Caenorhabditis elegans: one gene and its partner. The protein of the gene in region 1 purifies or fractionates together with the protein of each later gene. This does not show direct contact. Each region holds a gene or a part of one and is shown on either strand. Other genes may lie near its edges.

What was found.
Region 2: the proteins of F20G2.2 (region 1) and adk-1 fractionate together in Caenorhabditis elegans (co-fractionation; one large-scale study listed by BioGRID). This does not show direct contact.

Annotation. Positions count from the first base shown.
Region 1 is NC_003283.11:13,754,304-13,758,227, forward strand, and holds F20G2.2 (DeHydrogenases, Short chain), read right to left. Parts: upstream 2,107-3,924; 5' UTR 2,091-2,106; coding exon 1,962-2,090; intron 1,916-1,961; coding exon 1,829-1,915; intron 1,390-1,828; coding exon 1,102-1,389; intron 1,056-1,101; coding exon 912-1,055; intron 847-911; coding exon 745-846; 3' UTR 708-744; downstream 1-707.
Region 2 is NC_003282.8:11,208,521-11,212,853, forward strand, and holds adk-1 (Adenosine kinase), read right to left. Parts: upstream 2,312-4,333; 5' UTR 2,285-2,311; coding exon 2,210-2,284; intron 2,137-2,209; coding exon 1,820-2,136; intron 1,759-1,819; coding exon 1,653-1,758; intron 1,593-1,652; coding exon 1,266-1,592; intron 1,214-1,265; coding exon 1,010-1,213; 3' UTR 789-1,009; downstream 1-788. Other genes in the region: R07H5.9 (Kinesin motor domain-containing protein), read left to right, coding at 1-33, 79-259, 321-388, 433-622.

The DNA of each region.
Region 1 (3,924 bases):
CTGTCTACGAGCTGACTGCGAGAAAAGTTACCTAATTGATACAAGCCTCAATACGGTTTTTTAAAATTAAATGAGGACTAACGGTTCGGACGATTCCAAACGTATAGATCCAAAACGGGCTCAAATTAACAAATTTCGTAATGAAACTTCTCAAAAATTATTCAAATTAAACGGATTTTAACTAACTATAAAATCTCGAAATTTGGCCATTTATCAGTGTCACATCTGTCCGAAGTTGACTTTTTTGGAATTGTGAGCCTTTCTTGCATATTTTGGTAGTTCAACTCACATAATTTTGTTGATTAAGGTAGATTTAAGGCCGATAGGTAACCAAAAATGATCGAAATAGGTTGCCAGTCGGCTTTAAATGTACCTTAATCAATGAAATCAAATGAGATAAACTTAGCAGTTTAGCAGGTAGTTAGCTTAGCAGGAATATGCAATAAAGGATGATAATTCCAAAAAGCCAACTTCGGGCAGATGTGACACTTACGAAATTCGTCCATGAGCCTTTGGTCTACACGTTCAAAATCGTTCGAACCGTTAGTCCTCCTTTAAGTTGTTTTTCAATTCCTAAAGCGCCTCTAATCATCACTTCAAAACTGACCATGGCTGATGATGACCGGCAATCTGTGCAATTTTAATTCATTTCCTTTTTGGAAATTGAAAACGGTGAAAACTCTTATTTCCCGCTGAAATAATTCAATAATGAAAACAGCTTTATTAACAATTTTGAACAAGAATTTAATTTGGAATAACAGTGAGGTCTGCGTTGAGGTATGCTCCGTGATGGGCATTTCCGAGGGTGAGAATGTTGTCGGAGAGGGTCTTCGTAGCATCTTCAATCTGAAAAAAATTAGATTTTTTTTCAATACATTGAGTTAAAAACATTTTAACGTTTGTTCGTTTACCTCAAGCATTGCATTTGCACCTCCCATACCAGTTTTAACCCATCCTGGGCAGAATGAGGTGACCAAGATATGATACTTGGCGAGATCAATTGAACAGGATTTGGCAAAAGAGTTCAGAGCCGACTTGCTCATACGGTAGGCAACCTGAAATTCAACATCAGTGAGGCCTATGTATTTCAATAGAGGTTACTAGCGGTCCGTTGAAGGTTCCATCAATCTTCTCAACTGATGCGGCAGTAGAAGAAATATTAACAATTGCAGCTCGGTTAATTGAATAACCATCTCCTCCATTCTTGGCTGCAGCTTTTTTGAGCAATGGGAGAAATTCTTGAGTGATGAGTGCAGTTGAGACGGAATTAGTCTCAAGCTGACGGATCAATGTTTTACGGTTCTTTTCTCCTTCGACATCATAAGGGAGCAGAATGCCAGCATTGTTGAGAAGAACAGTTAGACCGTCTTCGCCAACCAGCTTTTCAACCTTAAATTTACATTTTGATTGGATTTTTCGACATATTTAAAAGCGTATAATTTTGAAACTATTTAAAGTTCATATTTCAAGTTGAAGCAATACATGTCAATTTTTGGAAAATACTGAATATAACATATTTTTCTATAGATATTGCATCCCACAACTTCGTCCTGGCAGATCTCAGACACTATAGAGTCTAAAAAATATCTGTAAATTTATAGAGCGATACAACTTCTTATAAATGGAGAACAATGACAAATGCCGTCAAGATAAAGCACTTTTATTTATATTTCGAATTTTAATAAAATTTAAAAACAAAGCTGGATTTAACTCGGGAGTATGCAATTCCACTTTCAAGTAAAGTTTCTAAATATCTAAATTATTGTTCATCCTACATCTACCACGTTTTAAAAGTTGTACAATCATGCTAAGTAATTAATCTTCTTACCTCTGCGTACAGTTTGCTGATTGACTCGTCACAATCAATGTCCAATGGCAAAATGTGTAGACGAGAGTCTTTAAGGTTGCTGAGCTCCTGGAGAGAGTTCAATAAAGTGTTTAGTTCTGTGGAATACGCGTACCTCAGCCTTTGAAGGATCTCTGCACGTGGCAATGATAATTTGAATGTCCTTATGCTTGAGGAACTGCTTCAGAAGACCGAGTCCGATTCCGCGGTTGGCACCGGTGATGAGAAGACTTTTTGGGGACATCTTTAAGCGAGAGCTACTGAAAGAAAATATATAAATTATAGGTTTTGAGAATGTTGATTAAATTAAATAAATAAGAGCTAAAATTAGGAAAAATAATTGGGAAAAAGGTTTTATTTATATTTGAAAAAATCATGTTTATAGAAGACGGTGTATCGAAACAAAATACATGGAGTATCATAGTATAGTCCAAACCCAACCCCACACAAACAAACACACACAAACGTTCCTTTTCTCTTTTCACTCTCCATTCTTCGTACAGTCTCTAGCTCTCAAGGTTAGAATAATTGTCCACAAAGGATCGATTACCAGTTGTCTCTTGTTTATGATGCTACAAATAAATAGATACAAATTAAAACCTTCTGAAAAAAGAAAAATAATCCGAAAATAATTGGGGTTCGTCTGATTAAAACTCTGCTAATAAACGAGTTTTGTGCTTCGTTTTTTATCATTATTTCCTCGATTTTCGAACTTTCATCTTCTTACTGCGTCTCTCAATGTTTGCAGGAAAAAGATGACAAAGTGAGAGAGGACAAGAATTGAAGATTTAGATTGCTTGGACACAACTGTCGGTCAGAAAATTTGTAAATAACGAGATTGTGTTTTGGACAGCAACAATAACTTCTAGATATTTTAAGTATTATATTTTTTATTGCGTTGCGCCCAAAACCCTATTTCTTTGAACCCGACTTTTTTGAACGGGCTGGATAATTTTCGCATGCAAAAAAATGTTTGACACATGGAAATCTCGGAAAGTTTATTATTTAAAAAGTGTGAAGTCACCCAAATGAAAAAAGACGCTAGTGGAACGAGACACATTTCCAAAATAAATTTTCCGCGATTTTTGAAGTACGTTGCTTATTTTAATAATTAAGAGAGTTTCTGTCTTTTTTCAAAATTCCAAAGTTTACGTCATAAATAAACAGATTATGAAGATTAATTAAAGAGTTTAAAGTTTTTTTCAGCGATGAGATCTAATTTCAAACATACAACCTGACATGGTTTAATTTCAAAGTGTTATATTTTTCCTTATTTGTTTCTTTTTCTATGCACACTTTAAAAAAATCGTTTGGTATTAAACATTGTGTGCCTCATAAATCTGCACTGTGCAATCGCGCTCCATTTTTAATATCACAGGCAGTCCACATTGTTATAGCACACTAGCTTCTCAGAAACTCTCTATACTTTCATATTCATAGATGTATATTGTCACATTTGTCATAAAAGCTCGGCCACGGAACACCATTGATTTTATTTCTCTGTTTCTCCCATCTCTAAATCTTTCTCTATCTGTCTTCATTTTAACTTTTCAAAAATCGCTTTTGAAAACATTTAATTAGAATATGTTCTTCAAAGTTTTTTCAGGCAAATTTGAAAATTTTGTATTAAATCAAATTTTTTTTAAATGAACAAAAATTGAATGTTGTTGAATAAATGTTAATTGTGAAAAAAAAACCGGGATTCGAGCTTTCGTGGACAAAAATTCCACACCAACTTTTGGGTTGAATTTTTTTGTTCCAAAGGGATTTTTATGTAAAAGATTTTTCCAATGATACGTTTAGCTAAAAAAAAATGAACCCGGCTGTATTTTTGTATTTTTTGGCAGATTTTCACCTCAAATTTACTCAAAGTTGATTAAAATAATGTTTTTATTTTGGTTGATTTAAATATATAGCGTCTTTATTTGAAGCTTTTCGGTGTAAAAATATCTTGTGGCAGACTAAATATGTTCCAAATTTTAGAAAATTGTTCTCCAATTTCTTCTGAAAATGGACACATTTCATTTGCTCCAGTTACCATATCCAGTGTTCAAGAAAATAATCGATTATACTCCACT
Region 2 (4,333 bases), on another chromosome or scaffold:
TCCTCCAGATCTTCGCAGCCGTTCTCAACAGTGGTAAAATATCGACATGGTGAAAAATAATTTGATTTCAAGTTTCAGTGAAGTGTCTGAATCAAGAAGCTCTTCAGTTACTGCTTCTTCTTCCGCTCCAACATCTACAACTTGCTATGATTCTGAACCGACGAAATCGGACACATCGAAAAAATCATCGAAGAAATCTCGAAAAAGTAGCCGTTCTTCAAAGGTTCCACATAGAAAGTTCAAGAACGTAGGATCTTTGGTAAGTTGGAAATATTTCTTTACTATTTGAGATAGAACAAAGAATCATATTTAAATTTCAGGATGAAAACGGATGTGTAAATGTCAAAGTAGTTGTCATCGAGAGACCAATCATCCGAGATAAACTCAGGTTTGATTCGTTTTCAGAATGAGCAATTGATAAGTAAGTTCCAGACCGATTGCTTTCATTGACAGTGTATTGTCTGCTCATGTGAAGAGCATTCTAATCAATGTCCTTCATGAGAACTACGAAGGTCTACCAGCGGAACAACTGATCAAATCAACTAATGTTCTTTTTGCTTTCCTTGATAAGAACGGCGTACAGAAACTTCGACGTGTTCGGAAAAGTGACGTTGATCACTAACAGTTTTACAATTTACCAAAACTGTAAGTAATCATATTCCTCTAGTCCTGATAAATATGCAACAAACTTTATTTCAGCCGTGGCAGTGTCGTTCTGGTTCTGGATCTGATTGGCTTTGTCGAAAAGGGGAAGAAGATTCCAATTCAAATCGACATGGATGAAGAATAAAACTTTGCCATTTTATTAAAACACCTGATAAATGAATTATAAGGCACATTTTGGGAACATTTGACAAAAAAAACAACACCAAAAGAAAAATTTCGAATAATAGGGATGCTCGAGGACGGGGAATGGGGAGCAAAACAAAGAACAATTTGATATACTATAAACCAGGGGACTGGGAAATTGAAAGCAGAGAAAGTTGGGATCACAGATTATTTTATCAGTTTAATGGTACTTGCAAACAGATGGCACTGTGCATCCGTGCTTCTTGATGATTTCTTGAGCAGCATAAGATCCACAGGTGACTGAAGCTTCGACTCCCTTTCCTTGGATGAATTGAGAAAGGAAACCTCCGACAAAAGCGTCTCCGGCACCGTTGGTATCGACGATTTCTTCCTTTGGAAGACGAGTTACTGGGAATTCGGTGACCTGTAGATTAAAATTGAAAACAATAAATTCAAAAATTATCAAAAACTCTCACCTTATCTCCTTCCACGACGATGACTGGCTCTGGTCCTTGAGTGAAAACAACGAGTCTTGGCTTAGTAGATTTCTTTGGAAGTGCAGCAGCCTTCAAAGCGATCTCCTTGACACAGGTGGTCTCCCATCCATTGGCTTTAGCAAAGGCAGCAGCTTCGTCTTCGTTTCCGAAAAGAACATCGACCAATGGAATGATTTCCGAGAGCTTATCGAAGAAAAATTGGGAGATGAACGGGGCGGAGAGGTTAAGGGTGAAAGTCTTGTTGAATTCGGCAGAGTGGCTTGCGAGTTGGAGAATAGCTGGTGGGCAGACAGTGATGAAGAATCCCTGAAAATTTTACATTGAGAATACTTTTGTGCTTATTTGTAAATCAATTCGATAACTTACAGTGACATAGAAATATTTGGCCTGCTCGATGATCTTCTGATTCTCCTCCTTCTGGAGATGATCTTGAGTGAAGGTGTTAGCAGCAGCCAAATGAGCACAGAGTGATCTGAAATCATTTCAACACGGCAACGATGATTTTTCTGTCCGTCAAACAATGATCCGCTTACCTATGAGTTCCGTTGATGAGGGCTGCGCAGGTACCGGTCTTAACTGTCTCGTTGATCTGATAATGCACATTCACTCCAGCTTCTTTGGCTTTCGATGCCAAAAGATCTCCGTACTGATCTTTACCAACAGCTCCAAAGAAAACTGTTCGGTTTGGTGCGTTCAAAATCCATTGAGCAACACGGAGCGAATTCTGTGCGGCTCCTCCTGGAATGTACTCGACTTTGAAATCTCTGGTAAGCTCGGTGAACATGTCATTGTGCTTGTCGTCGCAAAGAATGGCGTCGTTTTCTTTGAGTCCCCATTTGTCAAGGAATGCCTGTAGATTTCAGCAATTAAAATGAAATATTTTTGAATGTGCTTCTAGATTTCTAGAGAAATCAAAAACTTACCTTTTCAACGGTGGTTTGAATGTCCAACAATGGATTGCACATTCCGATGAGGGTGTTTTCTGGCAGAGGAGACATTTCCGTGACGTGAGGAGATGGGATTACCTGCAGATAGACAATTAGAAAATGAAAAGTGAGAAAAAGGCGAGTTTTGAACGAGTAAATAGACATAAGAGAAAACAAATAAGAAGATTGGCAAAGAAAGAGTGCGAAAAAACCGTTTTCGTGCTTTTTTGAACACGAATAACGCTGTAAAGCCAAGATATTTTGTGTTTTAGGACAATACATTTCCACGAAATCCACGTTGTAATTTGAAATTCCGGCCGAAAGACATTTTTGATAAACAACGATCGCATGGGATATCGGAGTGTCGTTGCAACGTGTTTTAAGATTTTATCGATCATAAATCTTTGCTGACAGAAGCGGAAAGTTTTTAAAACACCGTTGCTATCTTAAAAAACATGAACGTTTAAAAAAACCAAGAATAAAATTTGCAAGTTTCTAAATGTGGAAGTACCTCCTTCAAACACAAATTAGTGAATGCTATTTTGAATAATATTTTGAATAATATATTAATAATGGCTGATTGTTTGATGAATACTGTGTATTTCTTTTCCAATTCTACGATTTTAAAGTGGGAAGCAGTTATGCGGAATGGTCTCGCCAAGAGCCGTCTATTGATATATTTTTCTCAATCAATGGCTGGCGCGTGGCGAGACCAATCCGCATAAATGCTCCTCCCTTTAAAATCGTAGAACTTGAAAAATTCATAGTAAAAATACGATTTTCGAAAGTGGGAGCGATGAGTTTCCAGAAAAGTGAACGATCAGGCGTGGAAATTCAAATGTAATAAGATAACTTATTAGAACTTGGACAAAAATGAGAATGAGTTACACACAAAGTACACGATTCTGATGAGAAATGCGCCTTCCAACTAGCCTATCTTCTATTTTATCGTCCATTACTCCCCAGTCTGTCTGCAGTTTCTAAAAGATCTCCGCTATTTCGTTATCGGTTTTTTGACCGGCAAATTGTGACACTGATAGTATCTACCGATATGCCATCTAGCCTCAGAACAAGAAAAGTTGGCTAACTTGCGGTGGTGGTTTGAACGAGACAATTTACAAGTTATGTTCAATTTAGAAAACAATTTTAGTTGTCAATGGCTTTTAAACCTAGCAATTACATTAAAGTCTATTGCAAACAGTTTAAAATTGAAACTAAGCCTGAATAAACAGACACAGTGCGTAATGCAATTTTCATGTGGAAGTTGCAAAAAAGATAGAAAAAAGAGAAGAAACTACAACGGCAACTGTTATGAAAAAACCGATTGATTTCCATTGTGTTCTATGAACAGAAGGTGTCTCCTGCACATAAGTTCTCAAAATGAGAAAAATTTTCGAAAATGGCCTGATTGAAAGTTGATAGTCGATCAATTAATGATCTATTGGGGTTTCTATGTGGAGTAATATAGAAGTTGTACTCATATTTATTGGCAGTAGTTAAACAATTACCTATATACTCCGAAAAGTAAAAACTACAAAGTTTTTTTCGTACCCACGTTGTGAGTTGATACTCAGCTAATAGGTGAATTTTCATATTCTCCTTCACTGCACTATTCACTATATATATAATAGATAGCCGTTATAGAGCATTATTTTCTATGAAAATTAAACATTTAAATCTTTTTACTTATTGTAAATAAATACTTTTAAAACCTACGTTTTGAAGAACTTGCATATTTCAATTAAATGAAAAAACGTGTTACAGATTTAATATTGCCACTGGAGATTTAGTCTCAATAAACTCCAAGTAGTCTAACATGGCCGCACATTAGTAAATTGCCAAAATTGGCCAAAAATGCGTATTTTTGAGTTATTTCAAGCATATTTGTAGGTCCAAACTATTTAAATTTTTTTCTTTGAAACGGAACTAAAAAATGAAACTGGTAAATGTAACATTTTTTCTACTTCCAAAATTATAATATAGAAAAACTCTTAGTTTTCATTCCTTTTGACTGTATAAAAATTATTTCAAAAATTTTGCGAAAAGTTTTACAACGATATTTGGAGCAGTTTTAAACAACTTCATACTGAAGTTACTCAATATTTAAACCATATTCTGTGC